Linked DNA regions of Diceros bicornis minor. The protein of the gene in region 1 purifies or fractionates together with the protein of each later gene. This does not show direct contact. Links are inferred from orthologs where the notes say so. Each region holds a gene or a part of one and is shown in the gene's direction. Other genes may lie near its edges.

What was found. Proteins that work in one complex are often made in the same cells at the same time.
Region 2: the proteins of STK24 (region 1) and PPP2R1B purify together in Homo sapiens (affinity purification with mass spectrometry; 3 studies listed by BioGRID and IntAct, with this or other methods). This does not show direct contact. The link is inferred for Diceros bicornis minor from reciprocal best matches to the Homo sapiens genes STK24 and PPP2R1B.
Region 3: the proteins of STK24 (region 1) and SIKE1 purify together in Homo sapiens (affinity purification with mass spectrometry; 4 studies listed by BioGRID and IntAct, with this or other methods). This does not show direct contact. The link is inferred for Diceros bicornis minor from reciprocal best matches to the Homo sapiens genes STK24 and SIKE1.

The regions. Positions count from the first base shown.
Region 1 is NC_080748.1:74,651,029-74,658,307, reverse strand, and holds the start of STK24 (serine/threonine-protein kinase 24), read left to right. Parts: upstream 1-4,272; 5' UTR 4,273-4,594; coding exon 4,595-4,636; intron 4,637-7,279. UniProt on the Homo sapiens protein: Serine/threonine-protein kinase that acts on both serine and threonine residues and promotes apoptosis in response to stress stimuli and caspase activation.
Region 2 is NC_080746.1:24,465,768-24,472,969, forward strand, and holds the start of PPP2R1B (serine/threonine-protein phosphatase 2A 65 kDa regulatory subunit A beta isoform), read left to right. Parts: upstream 1-4,188; 5' UTR 4,189-4,206; coding exon 4,207-4,320; intron 4,321-5,177; coding exon 5,178-5,268; intron 5,269-5,696; coding exon 5,697-5,797; intron 5,798-7,202. UniProt on the Homo sapiens protein: The PR65 subunit of protein phosphatase 2A serves as a scaffolding molecule to coordinate the assembly of the catalytic subunit and a variable regulatory B subunit.
Region 3 is NC_080743.1:47,414,654-47,421,500, reverse strand, and holds the start of SIKE1 (suppressor of IKBKE 1), read left to right. Parts: upstream 1-3,833; 5' UTR 3,834-3,876; coding exon 3,877-4,035; intron 4,036-4,268; coding exon 4,269-4,374; intron 4,375-5,262; coding exon 5,263-5,405; intron 5,406-6,847.

The DNA.
Region 1 (7,279 bases):
TTAGAAATATTTTACCAAGCAAACACCTGCCTCTGTTCCCTGCTTCTGCTCTCAGTTGTCCAGTGACTGGAGATTAAGGCTCCGGTTTCTACGCGAGATAAAGTTTAGGGACTACGCCCAAGGAAATATGAAGCAATGCCTAATAGCAGAAATGTGAAATGTGAAGTGTGCAGAAAGGTCCACAGGCCTTGGGAGAGAGGAAGCTCTCGCTCAGGGAGCTGAGCCTCGAGGAACCACTTAAAGGGGCTGACCGCAAACGTGCATACAGTGAAAAGGGTGTGTTATGGGCTGAATCATGTGTGTCCCCCCACCCCATTCATATGTTGAAGTTTTAACCCTCAGTACCTCAGAATGTGACTGTATTTGGAGATAAGGTCTTCAAAGAGGTAATTAAGTTAAAATAAAGTCATTAGGGTAGGCCCTAATCAAATATGACGGGTGTCCTTATAAGAAGAGGAGGTTATGAAACACACACACGTACACACAGAGAACACCATGTGTGGATACAGGGAGAAAATGGCCATCTACAAGCCAAGGAGATGCCTCAGAAGAAATCAACCCTGCCACATCTTATCTAGGACTTCTGGCCTCCAGAACTGTAAGGACATAAATTTCTGTTGTTTAAGCCGCCCAGCCTGTGCTACTTTGTTATGGCAGCCCTAGCAACCAAAAACGGACGTGGAGCCACGTCGCTCTGAGAGCTGGCCCTCTGAGCTTCACACCCACACAATGAAACTTCGTTTGCACCATACCTCAATGTAGCTGGATCTTTTCCTAGGGCTTTAGCATATATTTTCTTGCCATCATGTCATCTAACTATGACGAGGCATGCTTCTTCATACTGATTTTAATAATCTGTCTTCCTCTTTTGTGTCTTCACCTGCTGAACATGTGTAGAAATTTGTCAAGCCTTCTGTTAGTTACTTATCCAAGCTACTCATATTTCTCCCTTTAAAGTTCACCATGTAAGTCCCTTTCTTTAATCTGCAAATTTAAATTGCTAATGTGCTACTTGTCTAGCTGTTCTTTATAAAGTGGCATTTGGGGGTGTTTATCTTTTCAACTCAGAAGGAGAAGTGAAGGGACTGATTGTTGAATTCTTGTTTTCGGCTGCACTCTTTGAGCTCTGCTGAGACTACAGAGCTGGCTTAGGGAACTTCAATACACAAGGGCTCTATATTTGGAGGGGCTCATTGTAAGGGTATGGAAATGTCCTTTGTGGTCCCAAATATATGTCAGAGCACAATTCATTGCCCAATTCATGTCCTTAAGTCAACACAAAAGACAAAGAGAGCCAGGGGATGAAAATAATTCCATGGGTTAGCAAGTGTCTCCATGGAGACCAGAAAATGCATAATCTCTATGGAGACCCTCAAAATCTCTCCTTCTGAAATTACAATAGTATATGATCTGTTGTAATTATAAGTTGAGGGTGGAGACAAAGTGACCAGAGGAAGAGGATGACAGGATAACCTTCTTTCCCTTGTGGAAATTATAGCTGTTGTGACTCTAAGTTTAATCAGTTGTGGTATTGTAAAATTCTGAAGTTAGCATTCTGGGAGACCATGTCCCTAGGATGGGATAAGAGGCACTTGAGGATCCAGCGTTTATATGCCCAACACTAACCTAGATGTCTGACATGTAGTTGGCGTTCAGAACAATGTGTTAATGTATGAACCAATGCAATGAGCAATTGGGCAGGATCTCATCATGGGCTCGGGCCCTGTCAATCATCTCTGCTCTGCTAAAACAAAGGGAGAGGGCTACTGATGGGGAATCCCGGGTAATGTCTGCATATGACCGAGCTGCACCAGTAACTCTTATTTTGCTTCTTTCTTCTCTTTCAAGGAGAATGGTGCTCAATTGTAGAAATATGGTTGAAGGAGGAAATGAGGTTTAGTCGTGGTGAGGAGATAAACAGGGTACAAGGAAATAGACCAGCTAATGAATGCAGGTCACTGTGTGCAGATAAGTTATATCCCATTGTAACCAACATGTTCTTAGCCTCACTAGCCTCTGGATAGAAAACGGGATTCTGATTACTTTTTATACCCAGGTTGTTATGGTCCAGTGTCCCCTGTGGCACATTTGTTGGAAATTAGCCCACCGTAAAGTGGGCCCCAGTGTTCTTTGAGAGTTTCCTATGGTAATGCCTCAGATCAGGGCCCAAACATTTCTGCCCACTTGTCCTGTTTCTTCCTCCTTATCTTGCTGCCATGTTATTGCCCTGACGGCTCACCCTAAGGAGAGACTTCTTTAGCATGATAGTCTCTACTGGTTGACCACCTACTGAAAAAATCACCTTTAATTCCAGGGATAGCCACTGCTTGGTAAATATACTTCCAAGTTTTTCTCTGTTTATGCATATATGCATAAAATTATATAAATTTAAATTATATATATGTTAAATTTATAAATTCATATATGTGGAGTAGCTTGAGATCAGACTATACATAATTTTGTACCCTGTATTTTCTTTCTTAATAATATATAATGAAAATATTCTTCCATGTTACTAAATATTGAAATACATAATTTTTAATAACTACCTAGAACTCACGTTATGAATATACTATCATTTACTTAAAAATCTCTGTGGACTTTTAATGTTTCCAATTTTCCCACAATTATAAATATCACTGCACTGCATCTTTTTATCTACGTTCTTCTGCACTTCTTGGTTGTTTCCTCAGCATTTGTTACTTTAAGTAGAATTCCAGGGTTAAAGAGTATTAACCCTTTTAAGACTCACGTTTTTGCTTGTTTTGCTGTTCATCTCTTTACGTAACCATTTTTTAGGTACACAAGATTTATACAAGATGGCAAGCTCCTAGGTATCAGGATTCATGCTTTTCTTAACTTTGTATTTGCCACATGCTCTTCACATTCCTTGGAGGTGGCAGGGCTTCATATTTCAGTGAAAACAGTGTACCAGTGACAACCATGAAGGTGTGTGAACCATCCTGAAGGACCTCGAGGAAAAACATGCATATTTCCAAAGGGAAAGAGGGATTCAGTCTAAGCACCCCACTCTCTGATCCAGAGCACCAGAGGGACCTGAAGTTGTTAAGAACACAGTGACATCTCAGAGAAGAAACATTCCTTGCCTTAGTAGAGGACTTTTAGAGTTTCCTCCAATAGTCTGTGAACTCTGGGGGGCTCATTTTTGTACGTCCGACCTAGCACAGCGATGGTGCAACAAAAGCATTCACGGGCATGAATGAGGAGCCAGGGTCCCCACAACCTGAGGTGCAGCAGATCACTTCAGTGGCTGCCACTCTGTCATTGTAAATAAAATACTTTCTGGAGGCAGTATTGACTCATTCCTAATGTCTTTCCTCTGCAGTTGGAGAAGAGGTGGCTAAACGGTGGGGGTCGAACTGGTGCTGAAGGCGGAGCTGGCCCTTTCGCTGGTAGCCGAAAGAGGGAGAGGGCCGGGGTAAGTCTAGACACGTTTCCTTCGATTGTCTTCCCTTCCTCCCTGCCCCTCCCCCACCTTTCCCTTCTCGTGGGTGGCCGCTCCCGCCCTGGTGCGGAGCCCCCTCACTTAGCTAAGTTTGCAGCGCCTCGAAGTCCAAGCGGGGCTGTCTTCAAGTAGCAAAAGCACGGGGGATTAACAGCTCTCGGCCTCTCCCCTCTCGGTTTCCTCCTTGGGTTGGTAGGAAACTTTACCCAGACGCCGAAGAAGCTCCGCCCTGGTAGTTTTGAACTGGCCACTGGCTGAGGCCCCGCGGGGCACTCTCCCTCCCCAGGTCCCCCAGCCCCAGACTCTACCCTCGAGGAGGCCGCCCGGAGCCAGTTTGTTCGGGGGCAGATGGCGAGCGGTGGGCTGGCTGGGAGGGCAGGAGGAGGAGGATAGAGGAAGAGTCGGTGCGCACCGCTCCCGCGCTGCCCAGACCCCCTTAGGGCCCGACTGGGCCCGCGGGTGGGGTGGGGGTGGTGGGCACGCGGCCCATCCCTGCCTCCAAGCCGCGTCCCTCGTCTCCCCGCCGGGCGGGCGGCCGCCCGCCCCCACCTCCCCTCCGGCTGCCCATCCTCCTCCCGCTCTGCCCTGCCGCTGGGGGGAGGGGCAGCCCGCGGGAGACGCTCCGACCCCCGGCCGCCCCGGCAGGCGGCGGCGCAGGCGGCTGCGGCCTAGGGCCCCGGGCGGCCGCGAGCCTCCTCCCCCTCCCGGAAGCGCGGGGCGGGGTCCCCGGCCGGGCCGCGGGGGCGGGCGCGGGGGCCGGGCCGGGGCGGGGCGCGCGGGGCGCTCGGCACTCGCGGGCTCGGCCGGCTGTGCGCGCCCACTCCGGCTCCAGGCGACCGGCGCGCGCGGGCCCAGGCCGCCCGGCTCCAGCGGAGCAGCAGCGGCGGCAGCTGGCGGCGAGGCCCCGCGCCCCTCGAGCCCCTCCCCGGCGCCGCGCATGGAGACGCGGCCCGCCGCCCGCCGCTGAGCTCGCCGCCCGGCCCGGGACCCGCCGGGGCTGGGGTGGCCTCGGGCTCCGGCCGGCCGCCCCCGTCGCCCGAGGGCTGCGCGCGGCCCGCGGGCCTCGTCGCCCGCGCGGATCGCCGCGGCCCGACCGTCCCGTCCCAGGCACTGGCCGTCCCGAGCGCCATGGCACACTCCCCGGTGCAGTCGGGCCTGCCCGGCATGCAGGTAGGCAGCAGCCGGGCCGCCGAGGGAGGGAGGGATGCGCGGGCCGGAGCGGAAGCGGGAACTTGGCGGTGTAAACACGGCCCCCCCACGCTGCCCTTCCGGGGTCGCGCCGGCCGCCCGCGCGGTACTCCCAGCCCCCGGGGCCACTGCCCGGCGCCGCGGCCCCAGGCTCGGGGGCGGGGGTGTGCGGGGATCGGGGCGCCGCGGCCTGGAGGCGGCCCTCGCCGGCCGGCGTCGCCGCGGTCAGGGAGGGATGCGGGGGTGCCAGCCGCCTTGCCCTCCCCGCTTTGCTCTCTTCCCAACGCCTCCCGAGTGCAGGCCCGGCGCCGGCGACCTCCCCGGGGAGAATGGATGCGCAGAAATGCCCTTGGAGGCCCGGATCCGGCTCGGGGCCCTGCGTGCGGCGGAGGCCCCTGTCCCCCCGGCGAGCGGCCGGAGAGTTGAGCGGCGGGAGGGCAGCCCCGGACGCGCCCCGACTCGTCCTGGGCCGGGCCCGGCCGGCTGGAGGAGGCAGGGCGGGGTGCGGCAAGGTGTAGGTGCCAGCCCCACTTCCAGCGCGTTCGTTCCGCGCCTGTCCTGGTGCAGATGGGAAAGTGCGAGCCTGGAAACCTTCTGGAAGAAGCAATCAGTCGGACACCGTGCACTCGCGTGCCGGACCCCGGGACCCTGGGCTTTTACTTTCAGACTTGGTTGGATCCGGATGAATTCCTTCCCAGTCAACCTCTCCTTTGATACTTTGTGGCATCCTGGCCGACCAGTGACTTTTTTGGAGGGGGAGAGAAGTTGAATTTCAAATTAACGTGAATGTATTAAGGTCTTTTGCCATTGGGCACTGTTCTTAGCCCTTTGAAAAAGAAAACCACCATCCGTGACTAACTTGTACTGTTTGTAAGCGCATATATGGTGGCAAAATGATTAGGGTTCAAATCTCACGATACGGTATGTCTTCCAAGTTTTGCTCTCTCAGTTTAGCTAAGCGAGTGGACCTAAGAAAACAACCACAGTTTTCCAAGTGGATTATTTATTTTACAGACATCTGCAGGCTCATTTTTTCTTTTTCCCTCGCCCTTGAGGGCTGAGAACAGGGCACCTACCTGGCCTCTTAGGAGCAGGGGATCTGCCCCACCTCTTCTGAGGCAGATGTTTTTTCCTTTTTTTTAAACCGTGAAAAGTGGGTTTCACTGTTCAGCTTTGAAATCTGGAAAAATAGGAACATAAAGTTACCAGAATTTTGGCCGGAGTTTTTTTTTTTTAAGGAGTAGCAGTTAAAGTTAATATCTTGAGTGTGCCTGAAGAAAACTGTTCTTGAATCTCATTTAAAGAGCCTTTAAATTGAACACGCATTTAAAACCTAAGCTTTTGCTGACCGCTAGGTAAAAATCAGATGTGGTTTCTTGGTATTTCTTAAAGTTCTTGCTTTGGTTTGGTTTGAATTTAGAGGCAGGAAGGCAAGGTGAACTGCGTGAAAAATTATTTTTGACGACTAGAGCAAGGGGGGCCTCTTGTAATGATAACAAAAATGCATTTAGTTAATATTTCCTTTAGACTGACTTCTATGCTGTGTTAATCAGGTTGTAATCCAGCACCAAGGCCTCACTTAGAGTTTTTACCGTGGAGGTAGTTGGCCTTTGTGGAAAGCGAATCAGTTTGGAAAGGGACTTCAAGCCTGGGTAGCTTGTGCCCTGAAGTCAGTATCAGATGGTCACCAGGTGGTATCTGGTCTCGACAATTTTTTTTTGTCCTTGCTTTTTTTTTTTCTTCAGGAGTGTGGGCCAAAATTCTTAACTCTTGGGAAAAGAAGGTAAAATTCCTTTAATAACTTTGCCTTCCAAATATAGTGTATTTCCTGGGTAGTGTTACAAGGGAACTGTTTTTATTTTGCTTTCTCAGTGTAAAAGCTGGTACATTTTTATTTAGTTGAGAGGACCACATTTCAGCTGTTATAGTTTCAGAGGTGCGAAGGTGGCTTCTGACAGCCATCCCTGCTTTTAAGCACATCTTCAAACTGTATGATAAATGTTTTTGGGTGCCATTTGGGGAAGAACATTCCTTTCCTCTCCTTTCCCCCTAAAAAAGAAAAACAACAAGCACATTTATTTTCTACTTGGAATTAGCAGCTGCTGCTGCCCAGGGAGGCATTCCTCAGAGTTGTTGAGATTAAATTAAAGATGCACCTGCCTTTGACTGACTGTTCAGGATAAAACAGGAGGGAGGTACTAACCCTTCTGTGCCCTGTCCTGAGACACCTCATCCCTCCCTTTTTTTCCATCTCATCTCCTGACCAGGGCTTTTAACGAGTTGGCTTAAAAATTTCAGAAAGACAGCAGAGTGAATTCAGGCAGCCGAGGCAAAGATGCTTAAAAAAAAAAAAAAAACCTGAATGAAAGAACATTTTAGTATAAACACGATTTTTCACTGTCTCGCGAATCATTTTTATGCCTCTTGATTCTTACTGCTACCACTTGAGGCATAAGTATTCTTTATGCCATTTTGTAGATGCAGAAACCAACAGAGACTAATGGAATGGACCAAGGTGAGACGATGTATCATGTGGCAAATTTGTGGTTTGAAACCAGGTCTTTCCTGCCTTCAAGACTGTGCTCCTACTCGCCATGCTGAATTATTGCTTTATTATTACTTTTG
Region 2 (7,202 bases), on another chromosome or scaffold:
AGTAGTGATAATCCCTGATTATGAGTTCCATAGCTTCTTCTGATTGACTGTGTGACTCCAGGTAAAGTCTTTTTCTCTTTGTCAAGTATTCCCAGCCATGAAAATGGGTTTAAAATTTTGCCAAAAAGCAGAGAAGAGAAAGAAAGTAAAAATATTGAGGTGAAGTTGAGGGGGGAATATTTGAGACCCGCAGAATGAGGATATTCTTTGTATAAACATAAATTCAAAATATCATTAACACTATAATGATAATTACTAATTTGCAATGAATTAAGTGCAGACCTGGGAATCTGTTTACCAGGGTCAGCTTGCTAAATGAAGAAAGCTGGAAAATGCCTGCATGTACCTCAGGTTTTCTGTACAAGAACTGGGCCATCCACCACTTTCCTGATGGCCTTTTCAATGGGTCGGCACTGCTGGGTCTGCCCTGAGAGAACGACCTACATATAGGTCTCTCTGCTGCACTTGGCCTTCTCTCCCAGTGGGGTGACTCTGGAGCAGATCAGTCCTGGAATGAGCGCCTGTTTGTAAAGCTCTGTGGACTGTGAGGAAGAGGCAAGCTTAGTACATGTGAGGTGAGAGGTCAGAGAGCACAATGACGTCATTCAGGCTTCCTCAGGACTGACCCTCTTCTGTTGTGACATTGAGAGCTGTTAGAAACACAAGAGTTGATGGCTATCGATCCCATCTGCCTGTGCTGCTCCATATTCTTGATGCTTCATCTGACAGGACCTGGGCAAATCTAACCCTGTCTTCCCTTGATTCACTGGGTGAGTGAACTGTATGTGGGTATCAGAACTCAGTGTTGAGAATGTCACATTGTTTCCTGAGTGTTGCTTCAAATCCTCAGCATTATCTCAGCCATTCCCTCTGGTGCTCCCTGGTCATTAGTTTCTTGTGTGTGTGGGATGTGGACAGGAGACCAGAGGGCGCAATAGAGAGGAAGAGAGCATATGGAAACAGCTCAGTGACACAGTTCTGTATTTGTAGTGCCTAGCTGACTTCCAGGAATCCAGCAAAAGAGGGATCGTCTTAATCTGGCAAAAACCACAGCCAATAGGGATAGAATTGCTTATTGATAAGCAGTTGTAGCTATCATTTGCTTTTTCTGGACTGAGGTGGCTTCCAGATACTCTTTTCAGACTCTCCTTGAGCAGATGCTTGTTGATATGGTACTTATTTTTCCAGATGAACTTTTTAAATCAATGTCTTTCGAACGTCATTGCACATTAGAACCACCAGGGGTGCACGGTAAAATGTCCTGCCCCGTTCTCAGGGATTCTGATTCAGTAAATCTAGGGTGGAGGCCAGGAATGCACATTTTTCCCCCAGTTTTACTGAGAAATAATTGACATAGAGGAATCTGCATTTTTAAACAAGCAACTTATGTGATTCAGATAGTCAGTGGACCACACTCTCCAAAAGACTGTCTTACATTTTGTTCTAGTTTCCATGTGGCCCAATTTTTGAAATAGCCTCTTTCTGCTTCACTCTGTTTTAATCACTTTCTTTATTGAAGGATTTATTAGCATCTCCATGTTTACTACCTGTTTCATTCTCACATCATCACAGTAACCAGAGAGGGAACCAGAGGGGGTTAGCTCCATTTTATTGGAGATGAGGGGGTGAGAAGCAGGATTGAGGCATAGGGAGAGGTATGTCACAATGAGTCAGAGACAGAGGTGGGAATTGAAGTCCAGAATTGATGACTCTAAAACCAGGCAATTTTCTGGGGCCTATTTTCTCAGCTTGTGATTTCGTATTTAATCATAGTTATTCTTTAGGTGTCCAATTCATTGTGCTTGAGTAAGCAAAGCGTACTTGAGTTTTAAACAAAATAGCTTAGCATCAATCCATGTGCTAATTTCTGTTTAGCAGATGGAGGGTTGTCTAAGCTTAAGCTAATATCTAGATGATGGTATGTCTGGAATTGACTTAATGTGCTTCTCTCTGCATTTGCTTCCTTTATCATTTCTGAAGACTTTTTACATAAAGTATAAGGAAACAGATTTCTCCTCTCCATGCCAATAGGAACCCCCTCTGATCTACTTGTTTAGTACTGGTAAAGTACTAAATCAAAAAACCTCTCAGCCCTCTGTTTCTCAAACTTGAGTAGTATTTGGATCCATTTCTAAAGGAAAAAAAAATCTTGAAAACTCTGTCAATTAAATTTTTATTACAATGTTACTTAAATTTATAAATATAAAGTAGGAATATAATGTTCTTTTATTTATAGTTCTTATACAACTAAAAAACCAAAAAAGATTTACATATTAAATACATATGAAACCACAAAACTAATACTATGCATATTAATATAGTAATTTAACATGACAATTGATGTTTTGCTTAGACTAAATTATCCCTTGTATTGTGACTATGGTATTGCTTGTGAAAGATCAACGTCTTTTGAGTTCAACATGCCTATGCCACCAAGTGACCTCTGACATCTCAATTTTCTCACCACTTTTCTGTTAGAACTACTGCAACAGTGCAGTCCCATGATGTCTTTTTTTTTTTTTTGGTGAGGAAGATTGGCCCTGAGCTGACATCTGTTGCCAATTTTCCTCTTTTTGCTTCAGGAAGATTGTCACTGAACTAACATCTGTGCCAGTCTTCCTCTATTTTGTATGTGGGTCACTGCCACAGTATCGCTTGATGAGCAGTGGGTGGGTCTGCACCTGGGATCTGAACCCTCGAACCCCAGGCTGCCGAAGCAGAGCACATGAACTTAAACACTATGCCACCGAGCTGGCCCCCATGATGTCTTTTGGCTTTCATTTTGTGCATGAAAACACCATTTTCATTTTAAATCCACCTCTGTTCGTTTCTCATTATCCCCAAACAATAAAAGCAGAATTGAAACACACGTGCAAATGTAGGTACTGAAATCACGTGGCAATACCAGGTTATGAAGTGGTCACCCAAATAATCCAGTATATGCTTATGCAAATCTAAAAAATATTATCAAAATGAAAACAAAATTAAAACCCTAGAGAATACATCCATAGACCTAATTTGAGAAATACTGTTCAGGTCCATTCACTCCCAAACTTCCACTACTATCATATGCCCTATCTACTGTATTTACTTCCAGGAACCCTATGTTTTAAAGAAAAAGTCTCCTAAATTGCATTTATTAATAATTTTACATTTTTATTAATCAGACATAGAACTACCATTTCAAAGCTTGTGATCACCATATATAGGTATCAGTCTAAGCTGCTTATAGTCCAAAACAAACAAAAAGACAGGACATTCTAGTAATTCTCTGCTGCCCTAACAAGGGTAAATGAAAACTTTCCATTAAGTTTTTTAAGAAAGAACTCCCATACCCTCACATCCTCCCACTGCTGCCTTTCAGGACTCTTGGAGTTCTAGGGAGGCCAGTTTAGCCTTTCTTGTACAAGCAAAGTAGCCACTCCACTCAATTTGGAAGGATTAAAGCTTGTCCTAGTTTTGCTTGATTGTTGTACTTCTAGCATGCTAAAGATCTAAAAAATGGGAGGAAGAAAATACAACAGAAGGCACCATTCCAGTACCAAACTGAAAAGAAACACAAAAACAAGAGAGCAGCATGTTTTTAACAGCTTGCATGGAGAAGGCGGAAAAAATATTGACTGGGGAGTTTGGACAGCACTGTTCATTTTCTCTCACCGCCCGCGTTATTTGTCTTATGCAGCAGGAGCCAGATACAATTCTGGCGCACAGGCCGAAGGAAGAGGTGGAGGGGTTCTGTGGAAGCCTGAGGCTAGTGGGGAAATTAGAGCTGGAGACCCACTGGCTCAGGGCCAGGATGAAGTGAGGGGAGGCGCTAAATCTTTTTTCCTCCTAGCCTTGGGCATCCTCTTTGGTCCGCCGGAATCCTAAGAGGACACAGCACGGATCACTCAAGTAGGTCCCTGACCCCTTCAGAGCACCACGAACAGGATGAATCCTTGCCCCTGTTTCTTTTGGCTGGGGAAAGGACGCAGGGGCTCCATTCGGTTTCTTAGCCCACCCTTCTTCTGGTGTTTAGAGCTACAGCTCCCCCAAGGGGGACCGGGCGAGGGCCTTCACCAGCCCGGCAGACATCCAGGTCCTCCACCTTGGCGGAGAAGGAGCGCGGGCATTAGCTCCGCCTGCCTGGGCGCGGGGCGGGGCCTGGGCGCGGGGCGGGGCCTGGGCGCGGGGCCGGAGGCAGCAACCAGGCGGAGGAGAAAGAACATGGCGGGCGCCGCGGGCCCTGGGCTCGGCCCCGGGGCAGCGGGCGGAGATGGAGACGATTCGCTATACCCGATCGCGGTTTTAATCGACGAGCTCCGCAATGAGGACGTGCAGGTACTGGCCTCGGGTCGGGGAGCGAAGGCGGCCCAGCCAGGCGCGTGGGAGGGAGGCGGGAAGGCCGGCGCCGCGGTGGGGGTGGCCGGGGGATGGAAAGAGGCGGGCTCCGAGCTGAAAGTTGAAGGGGAGGAGGGGAGCGACCCTTGAGGGGCTGTGGTGCCTCGGCGCGACCTTCCCGGGGAGCTCTCCAGCACCCTTCCTCCCGACCTCCTGAGGCGTCTGCCCGGCGTCCCACCGGTCCAGGCGGTTGTGGGAGAACCGGCCTCCCGCCTGGGCGCCCTTCCGGGCCGTGCGGTGGGAGCGCCGCGTCGAGCGCTGGGCCGGCCGTCCTTGTCGACGAGCGGCCGCAGGGAGGGCGGCGCGGGGCCGCGAGGGGCTGAGCAGCCGGCAGCGGCGCCAAGGGGCCCTTTGAAGTGCGGGTGAATGAATGCCTTCCTCTGGGCTTGCAAACCGGCCGGGATCGTGGGGTAGAAAGAGGGTGGGGTGGCTGATGAACCTAGAGGAGTCGGTGTGGCAGCTTTGGGCGAACTTTTCTTTGAAAAGGCGGGAGTTGTATTCAACCGTTTCCTGCTTCACCACTGCCAGAGTTCCCTTTCTAAAATGTCTCACTCCCTGGATGTTGTATTCTCTTTCATTCATTTCTCTAATGGGGCCTTCAGAGTGTTTCTACTAGGACATCTTCCTAATGAAGCCGTGTTACGCTGCTCCTGACGTTCCTCATAGAATAAAATCTAAACTGAAGGTTTTCCTCATTCTTACTCGTACGCCATCTCACCTGTTGGCAACTTTTGTCTTTTGGTCTAAATCACAACTATTTCTTTACTTCGTTCTTCTTTCCACTTTCTTTTTTAAAGCTCCGTCTCAACAGTATTAAGAAGTTATCAACAATTGCTCTAGCACTTGGAGTAGAAAGGACGCGAACTGAACTGCTGCCATTCCTTACAGGTATGTGAATCTTTGTTTAAAGAAAGGCATGGGCATTTCTGTTTTCCAGTGGCTTTCAAAATTTTGAGTATTTTTTAGCATTTGTTACCCCCAGTATTATTAAGTGCTAAACTGAGCCTGATGCTTTTGGGGCAAAAGAGAACAGGACAGGGCATATTGTAATATTGTGGCCAGACATATTCAAACATTAACTGTTTAGCTAATAGTAAAGTAATTGTTGATAATGGGATTATGAATTTCTAATTCATTCTGTAAAACAGATCTAAGACGACTCTTGATTGAGAAGGAAGAAAAGACTGTTAAAGGATTGTGACAGGACCGTCGAGTTACATATTAAGTCTCTTCATGTCTCTTCCTAGTTTTATGTGAGTGTCCAGTTCTGGGCCAGCTATCCTTGTTGATGAGTATTGGGTTGTTGTCATTTCCAGATACAATTTATGATGAAGATGAGGTACTGTTAGCTCTTGCAGAGCAGCTGGGAAGTTTCACTGGCCTGGTGGGAGGTCCTGACTTTGCCCACTGTTTGCTGGTGAGTATATTCTGCCTGCCCTCCTTCTAGAACTTTTGCAGTATAAATGATACATTGTTTGGTGGTAGACACACTGCAGCATTTTTTTATGCAGATCTTTTTATGGATAGTCGCAGTGTTAGCTATTGAGAGAACAAATAATGTAGGTACTTTGGACTCAACCCTTTCTTATTTTTTCTGACTATGAATATAAGAACTTCCTCTTTTCTGCCTCTGTAGACTTATTTGTTAGTTTAGAGGTTGGGAGAAAAAGGATTTGATTGGTTTTGTTTATTTTTTTTTCTCTTGAAATTGGAAATCTTAATTCTCATCTAGCAGTGTCATGACTTTGGAAATGTTTGTTAGCTTTTTGTCTTTGATCGTAAGCATAACGTTTGCTTCTGGCTTACTTTGTGAATTTGATGAGTTCACTTCAATTTAGTTGACATTTATTGAGAGCCTACTATATCAGGCACTGAAGTTACAGTGTTAATGTTAAAGAAGACTAATGTGAATGGAATGAGGTCTCTGTCCATATTTGTCAACAAATAATTACGTACAGTGTTAGATGGAAAAATGAAAGCACATACAAGGTACTCAAGTAATGGAGAAGAGAAAGAGTTAACCTAGGGTGATCAGGGATGACCTCATGGGAGATGATGTCTGAACTAGGTTTTGAAGGATGACTAGGAATTTGGATAGTTGCAGAAGATAGGCATGTATGCTTCAGGGCTTAAATACTGTGTATATCATGCTGACTCTTGTGATTTTATCTCTACCTTTCCATGGAACTTCAGATATAGCTATAGAAAGAGAGATATAGATATCTATCTGTTGTCTCTATATATCTGCCTATGATTTTTCCACTAGGATGTCAAACAGACATTTCAAATTTAACATGCCTAAAACAGATCTCAATTTTCTCCCCAAAATTATGCCTTTCATTTAGTTGTCCCATCTCAGTAAATGGCATCACCGTCTACCCAGTTGCACAAGCCAAAACCTAGACGACATTCTTGAATCTTCCTTCCCTCATTTCCCACATCTAATCCATTAGTAACTTCTACAGATTCTATATACATTCCAAATCAGTCCACTTTCCTCCATCCCTACTATTAGCTGGCTCATCTTTCCTCTAGTCTTTCCAGGCCACATGATCTTTCCTCTAGATTACTACAGTAACTTCCTAACTAGTTGCTTTCCCCTCTTGCCTCCCACCTCACCCCTACAGTTCACTCTTCACCCAGCAGATGGATCACTCCCTGCCATGGCTCTTAGAAAATCCACATTTCTGCCTTAGCTTGTATCTTAGTTTACAAAACCTGCCTCTGTGAGCTTATCTCATATCGTGTTCCCTCTTGATAACCTCATTCCATTCACAGTGATCGTCTTTCTGTTCTTTGAATAAACCAAGCTTATTATTGCC
Region 3 (6,847 bases), on another chromosome or scaffold:
GGCATGGTACTACAAGAGGTATTTCCAGTAAAATTTCCAAGTCCCTCCCCACTAGAATTCATGTAACTGTGGCAGGAACATTATCCTGTGGGTCAGAGTTGGCATTTGGATCATCAGAGGATCACTGGGATAAGGTATATACCCTGAGAGAGACAAAAGTGGAATTGCTGATAGGGCAGTCTGAGAGCTGAGAATAAAGGTAGGGAAACCCAAAATCACTTCCTGACCCAAAGAGTAAGAGTGAAATAATAAGGAGGATATGGAGCCAAGAAACAGGAGCCGATAGAAATTAGATCAAAATGGAAATAAGTCAGAACAAGCAAAAGAGGTCTTGGGAAATTTGTTTAATTTCCATGAACAACACTACAGGTACCTGAGCTTATCTTATTGGTTTATTGATGGGTGGGATACAGAAGTATTGGGACGGCTTGAAGGTTAGAACTCCTTTATCTTCATGTTTCCCCATCTATAACCCATAGTTGTACCTACCCTTTTTATTTTTCTTTCCAAATAAGGAGAATGAAATGTCTCTTTTCTATTCAAGTCCAGCAACTTCACCTATATTCTTAACCCTATGTCCATCATCCCAATCAATATTCAGCAAAAATTTATTAAGTAGCTACTATGTCCCTTCTCCTTCTGGTTCTTCCTCCTTTAAATGTCCCCCTACTTTCTTATATCTCTTTCTCTAATGGATCCTTCCCCTATAAAGCCTATAAACATGCTCAAGATTTGTCCATAAAAACAAAATAAAAGCAGAAACAAAAACTCTCCCTTATTTCTGTATCCCCTTTTAATCACTACTGGAATCCTAAGATTGGTCGAGGGTTGGAGTTTACTGCTTGCATTTGGTCTAAAAAGAAAAGTGCTAAAGAATTAGAGGTGCCAGAGAGACGATGGCTCAGATTGCCAATCACAAGAGCTCAGTCTGGTCAGGGAAAGAATATTAGACCACAAGAAAAGTCTGATAGGTGGGGAGAATATAGATATATTCAGAAATCAAAGAGCTGGATGAGGTCAAAGAGACAGTAGTGGCAGAAAGGGTTGCAAGAACTGGATAGATTGAAACCAAGTTTGCAGTCAAAGAGTTAGATATTAAAGCTTAAAATTTTTGATGAGAAACAATTTTTAGTGAATGATCAAGGGTGTGGCCATGGATGGTCAAATAAATTGAATGTCTCTAGAATGGAAGAGGACAAGGAAGGATAGAACATTAGATGAATTGTCCACACGGACATGAATGTCACCCAAGATGAGAGCAAAATGTTAAGTAATAAAAAAGATTGTAAGCCAGCTCCTCAAATCTTCTATGAAAAAAGGAGAATACCCAAGGTAGTAGGTCAGTAATTGACAGCAATAAGGAGAGACAGAAGATTCTCCAGCTGGATGAGACAAGCTTCAAATAAACGGAGGTTTTACACAAGCAAGTAAGAGTAATTGCTTGGCAGTGTCATTAGGGAATTAGAATGAGCCGGCTAGTTCTCAGCCCTAACGTGGGTGGGCAGAGAATAATAATTACCTGCCACCGAAAAGGCAGCAAGGGGTTGTGGTATCCTTGGGGAGAGTTAGTAGACGAGGAGACGACTTGAGGTAGGGAGAAGACCAGTTGGAAGACTGTTGCTTTGTCTGGGTGAGAAAGGACGACGGCCCAATATACCCAATAGCAGTGAGAATACAAAGAAGGAAATAAGTCCTAAAGCTATAAAGGAGATAGATTGCTTTGGTAACTGATTAATTGTAAACACTAAGTAGGAAGGATAGAAGATGACTTCCAGGATTCTTTTTTGGGCAAAGAGGTATATGAATGTGCTCTTTACTGAAACAGGAGGAGGAGCAGGTTTAGAAGCAAAGATAATGAGATCAGACGGATTTGAGAACCATCATCTCTCAATGGAAGTCAAAGGCAAATAAGTGAAAGAGATCACTTAGGAAGAGTGTTTTGCTTTGTTTTAGTGAATGAACGAAACCTCTTTACCTCTGTGGCTCTGCATTAATTTTTTTCCTGTTGGTCAGTTGTCTTGATTTGTTATTTTTGTTGAATTTGTTCCCTATCCCCCTCTTGACAAACAATTATTGAATGTCTCCATTGTGCCAGCTGCTGGGAATACAAAGGCAAAAAGCTCAGTTCTCTCCCCTCACTTCTCTGACCTCACACTACTGCTCTGACACTCTTGCCCCTCTCACCAGGCTCCTAATCCTGTCATTACTTTCAATCATTTGTAAGAGTATGAACTCTTTCTCCCATTAGAATATAAACTCCCTAAGAGCAGAGACTTTGTATCATTCTCTGGTGTATTCCCAGACACTAAACAGTGCCTGAAACAAAGAAGGTTCCCCCAAAATATTCATTATAGTAATGAATGAAGAAGAACAATGTTTGACATACATGCTTGACAAGGTAAAATCATAAACCCATATAACAAATAGCACAAAAGTCATCACTGTTCTGGTTAAATTTATTTCCAATTTCTTAATTGAATTAAAATGGAAAAAAAAAGCAAGCAGAAAATAGCAATGACTCCATCTCACAATCATTAAGATGGCTATCAAAAAAACAGAAAATAGAGCTAGCCCTGATGGCCTAGTGGTCAAAATTGTGGAGCTCTCACTGCTTCAGCCACCCAGGTTTGTTTCTCAGTCACAGAACCACACCACCCATCTGTCAGTTGCCCTGCTGTGGCAGCAGCTCACATAGGAGAACTAGAAGGACTTAGAACTAGGATATACAACCATGCAGTGGGGATTTGGGGAGGGGAAAAAAAGAAGAAGATTGGCAACAGATGTTAGCTCAGGATGAATTTCTTCCCTGCAAAAAAACCCAGAAACCAAAAAACAGAAAATAGCAAGTGTCAACAAGGACATGGAGAAATTGGAACCCTTATGCACTGTTGGTGAAAATGTAAAATGCAGCTACTGTGGAAAACAGTATGGTCATTCAAAAATATTTAAAAATAGAATTACTATATGACTCAGCAATTCTACTGTTGGGTATAAACAAAAAGAATTGGAAGCAAGGACTCAAAGAGATATTTGTACACCTCTCTTCATAGCAGCATTATTCACAATAGTCAAAATGTGGAAGCAACCCAAGTGTCCATAGATGGATGAATGGATAAACAAAATGTGATATACATAAGATGGAATATTATTCAGTCTTAAAAAGGAAATGCTGATGTGCATAAATGACCCTTAATGACATTATGCCAAGTGAAATAAGCCAGTCACAAAAACGACATATCTGATTTATATGATTCCAGCTACATAAGGTACCTAAAGCAGTCAAATCCATAGAGCCAGAAAGTAGAATAGTGGTTGCCAGGGGCTAGGAGGAAGGCAGAATAGGGAATTAGTATTTAACGGGTACAGAGTTTCAGTTTTGCAAGATGAAGAGTTCTGAAGTTAGATAGTAATGGTTGCACAAGAGTGCGAATGCACTTAATATTACTGAACTGTACATTTAAAAATGGTTAAGATGGTAAATTTTATGTGCATTTTACCACAATTTTTTAAAAACTAAACGAAAAAGAAAAGAACGACGACTGAATAACAATCTACATCAATCAAAACCAGTAGGGAAAGGAGAAACTCAGCCCGCCCAGCCATAACTGAACTTGACCACCAGGCTGCGGGAACATGAAACCAAGGGCATTGCAAGGCCAGGCCTCCGACACTCCGCAAGGCGAGGCCGCAAGAAAGCCGCCGGTCAAAGCAGGTCACTCCCGGACTAGGCTGCCACTGCGCAGGCGCATATCGCAGCTGCCGAGGCGCCTTTTAAGCGTACCTGGAAGTGACGTCTATAATGCTGAGACACGTTGCGGGAGGATCTGAGCGATTCTGGTAGGCGAGCAGAGGTGGGGCTGGGGTCGGGTGGCAGCTATGAGCTGCACCATTGAGAAGATCCTGACAGACGCTAAGACGCTTCTGGAGAGACTGCGGGAGCATGATGCAGCTGCCGAGTCGCTGGTGGATCAATCGGCGGCGCTGCACCGGCGGGTAGCCGCTATGCGGGAGGCGGGGACAGCGCTTCCGGACCAGGTCAGGCAGAGGGTAGGGGTCCGTGCCCTCAGGTACTGGGCACTTGAGGGATGGAGGGCGAGGTAAAATGGAAACTCGGCCTGGAATTTATTCCTGGTCTCAGAGGGCATCGGTGAGACCTTTCTGCGGGATCGGGGCTGAGAATGCTGCCCTGGAGCTCTGACTCCTGCCTCTTCATTTGCATCTGTGGCTGTTCTGTTGACGGCGCACTTAGTCTGTCTCTGTTTGTCCAGTATCAAGAGGATGCATCCGATATAAAGGACTTGTCCAAATACAAACCTCACATTCTGCTCTCCCAAGAGAATACACAGATTAGAGACTTGCAGCAGGAAAACAGAGGTTAGTCAGGACTTTTTTTGTAGTTACTATGATTTTCTCATATCCAGTAATATTTCAAAGGTTCTTACAAAAGTGTCATACTGTTCACAAAAGTGCACGTGCTGTATGTATTTCCGGGTCAGTACTTTTAATAGGAAAAGTTACTGCGCTGGCCCAAAACAATGAAGTTTGTTACATTACCCTTTTCAATGTCATCTGACTGATTTTGTTTTTATAGGCAGCTTATCAAAGAGATGCTTAGTAGAGCTGAATTACTGCGTGGCTTATTTAGGCATCCCCAGGTGGAGGCTTGCATAACGAAAGCGTTAATATCCTCAAGGGCTTAAAACTTAATGTTTAAATATTAATTGAAATAAACACTAAAGACTGAAGGTTTTTTTAGGTTCTTGTGTAAGTGGAAGAGCTGAATTTTATCTTCAGGGTATGTAGTCTTAAGCTTGAATGAGTACATTATTTATGATAGGGCTATGAATAGTTATTTGTATATCAGTTTACAGAGGGCTTTCACATGTATCATCCCATTGTATTCTCATATCTTCATTTTGAGGTAGGCAAGCCAGGTATTTATTATTACAATATAGATAAAAAATAGGCTCAGAGAGGTTAAATGGTTTGCTTGAGTATTAAGCTAGTAACTCACAGAACTGAACTCAAACCCATGTCTTCTGATTCCACATCTCATTTTGTTTCTGCCAGACTATGCTGCCACTAGCCAGAAAGTTATTTTTCACGTAGACCTTAACTGTTGAGTTTTTTGGACCTAAACGCAGATTTACAACTTTGAATTCACAATATCTCATAGAGTGTCATAAAATTCCAACTGTTAAGAGTTTGGCTTTGGGAGTTATCTCTCAGACATCACTGCCAAGTTATTTTATTTTTTGATAGAGCTATGGGTTTCCTTGGAGGAACATCAGGATGCTTTGGAACTCATCATGAGCAAGTACCGGAAACAGATGTTACAATTAATGGTTGCTAAAAAAGCAGTGGATGCTGAACCAGTCCTGAAAGCTCACCAGTCTCACTCTGCAGTAAGAAACTTTGATGAATAAATTCTAAGTGAACTGAATTAAAATCTTGAAATTGTTTTGGATTGTGTGCTTGTTTTTGTTTTGTTTTGTTTTGTTTTTTTGAGGAAGATCAGCCCTGAGCTAACATCCATGCCAATCCTCCTCTTTTTGCTGAGGAATACTGGCTCTGAGCTAACATCTATTGCCAATCCTCCTCCTTTTTTCCCCCCAAAGCCCCAGTAGATAGTTGTATGTCATAGTTGCCCATCCTGCCAGTTGCTGTATGTGGGACGCTGCCTCAGCATGGCTGGACAAGCGGTGTGTCGGTACGCGCCCGGGATCCGAACCCAGGCCACCAGTAGCGGAGCGCATGCACTTAACCGCTAAGCCACGGGGACCGGCCCCGGTGTCCTTGTTTTTTTAAGAAAAGTAAGCTTGTTTTCCTTTCATGTCTATCACATTCGCTGTTGATTTTGCTATAGCTTTGTAAAGATATGAATAGAAAGAAGAGGGTAAAGGGTTGTTCAGGTCCTTTTATTTGAGTGAGACTGAGATTCCTCCCTCCCTCACCAAGATCTTTCTTCAACATGTTAATGAATGCTTAGTTCTTCCACCAAACATAATGCCAGTTAGTGTTGAAGGTGCTCAGTAAATACTTGGTTATTATAGTACATTTCACTAAACTGTAAGCTCTTTGATTGTAAGGAGCATGAATTCATCTTTTATCCCTAACATAGTACCTAGCACATAGCAGGCAGTCAGTAAACCTTTATTAAACTGAATTACATAGCATTATACTGTGTTGTCAGGAGACAGAAGTATGGTTTTAAAAAAATAGATATGGCATAGTTTCTACACTTCAGTTGCTTATGATTTAATTTGGGAGACCCAGTAATTTTCCTTATGTTTGTAGAGTGCTTCATAGTTGTCATTGTACATTCACATATACTCTGTAATTTAATCCTGGATTAATAGATTGGCGTGTCACTCTTTGCTGCAGTGGAATTTATGAAAGATAAGTTTTATCTTAGATTCCATTGAAAAAATTTTACTGACTTAACCAAAGTCTTAGGGAACAGGGATATTTTAAATATGTGAATGGCATTCATCTGGAAGAGAAAAATAAAGTTTATTTTCTGTAGTCTGGAGGAGAACACTTGAACCTTGAAGGAGACAGTTTAGCTCATATGAAAAACATGCTAAGAGATATGTCCAAAGATAGAATAAGAAACCTTGGAATGTGGTAAGCTTCCTGCCAATAAAAGTATTCAAATTTAAGTTAAACAGCCACTTAGAGATATTGTCCAACATGCAGTGGTTGGTTAGACTAGAATTGATCTTTTTTTTTTTTTTCCTGAGGAAGATTCACTCTGAGCTAACATCCGCTGCCAATCTTCCTCTTTGTATGTGAGCTGCCACCACAGCATGGCCACTGACAGACAAGTGGTGTAGGTCCACGCCTG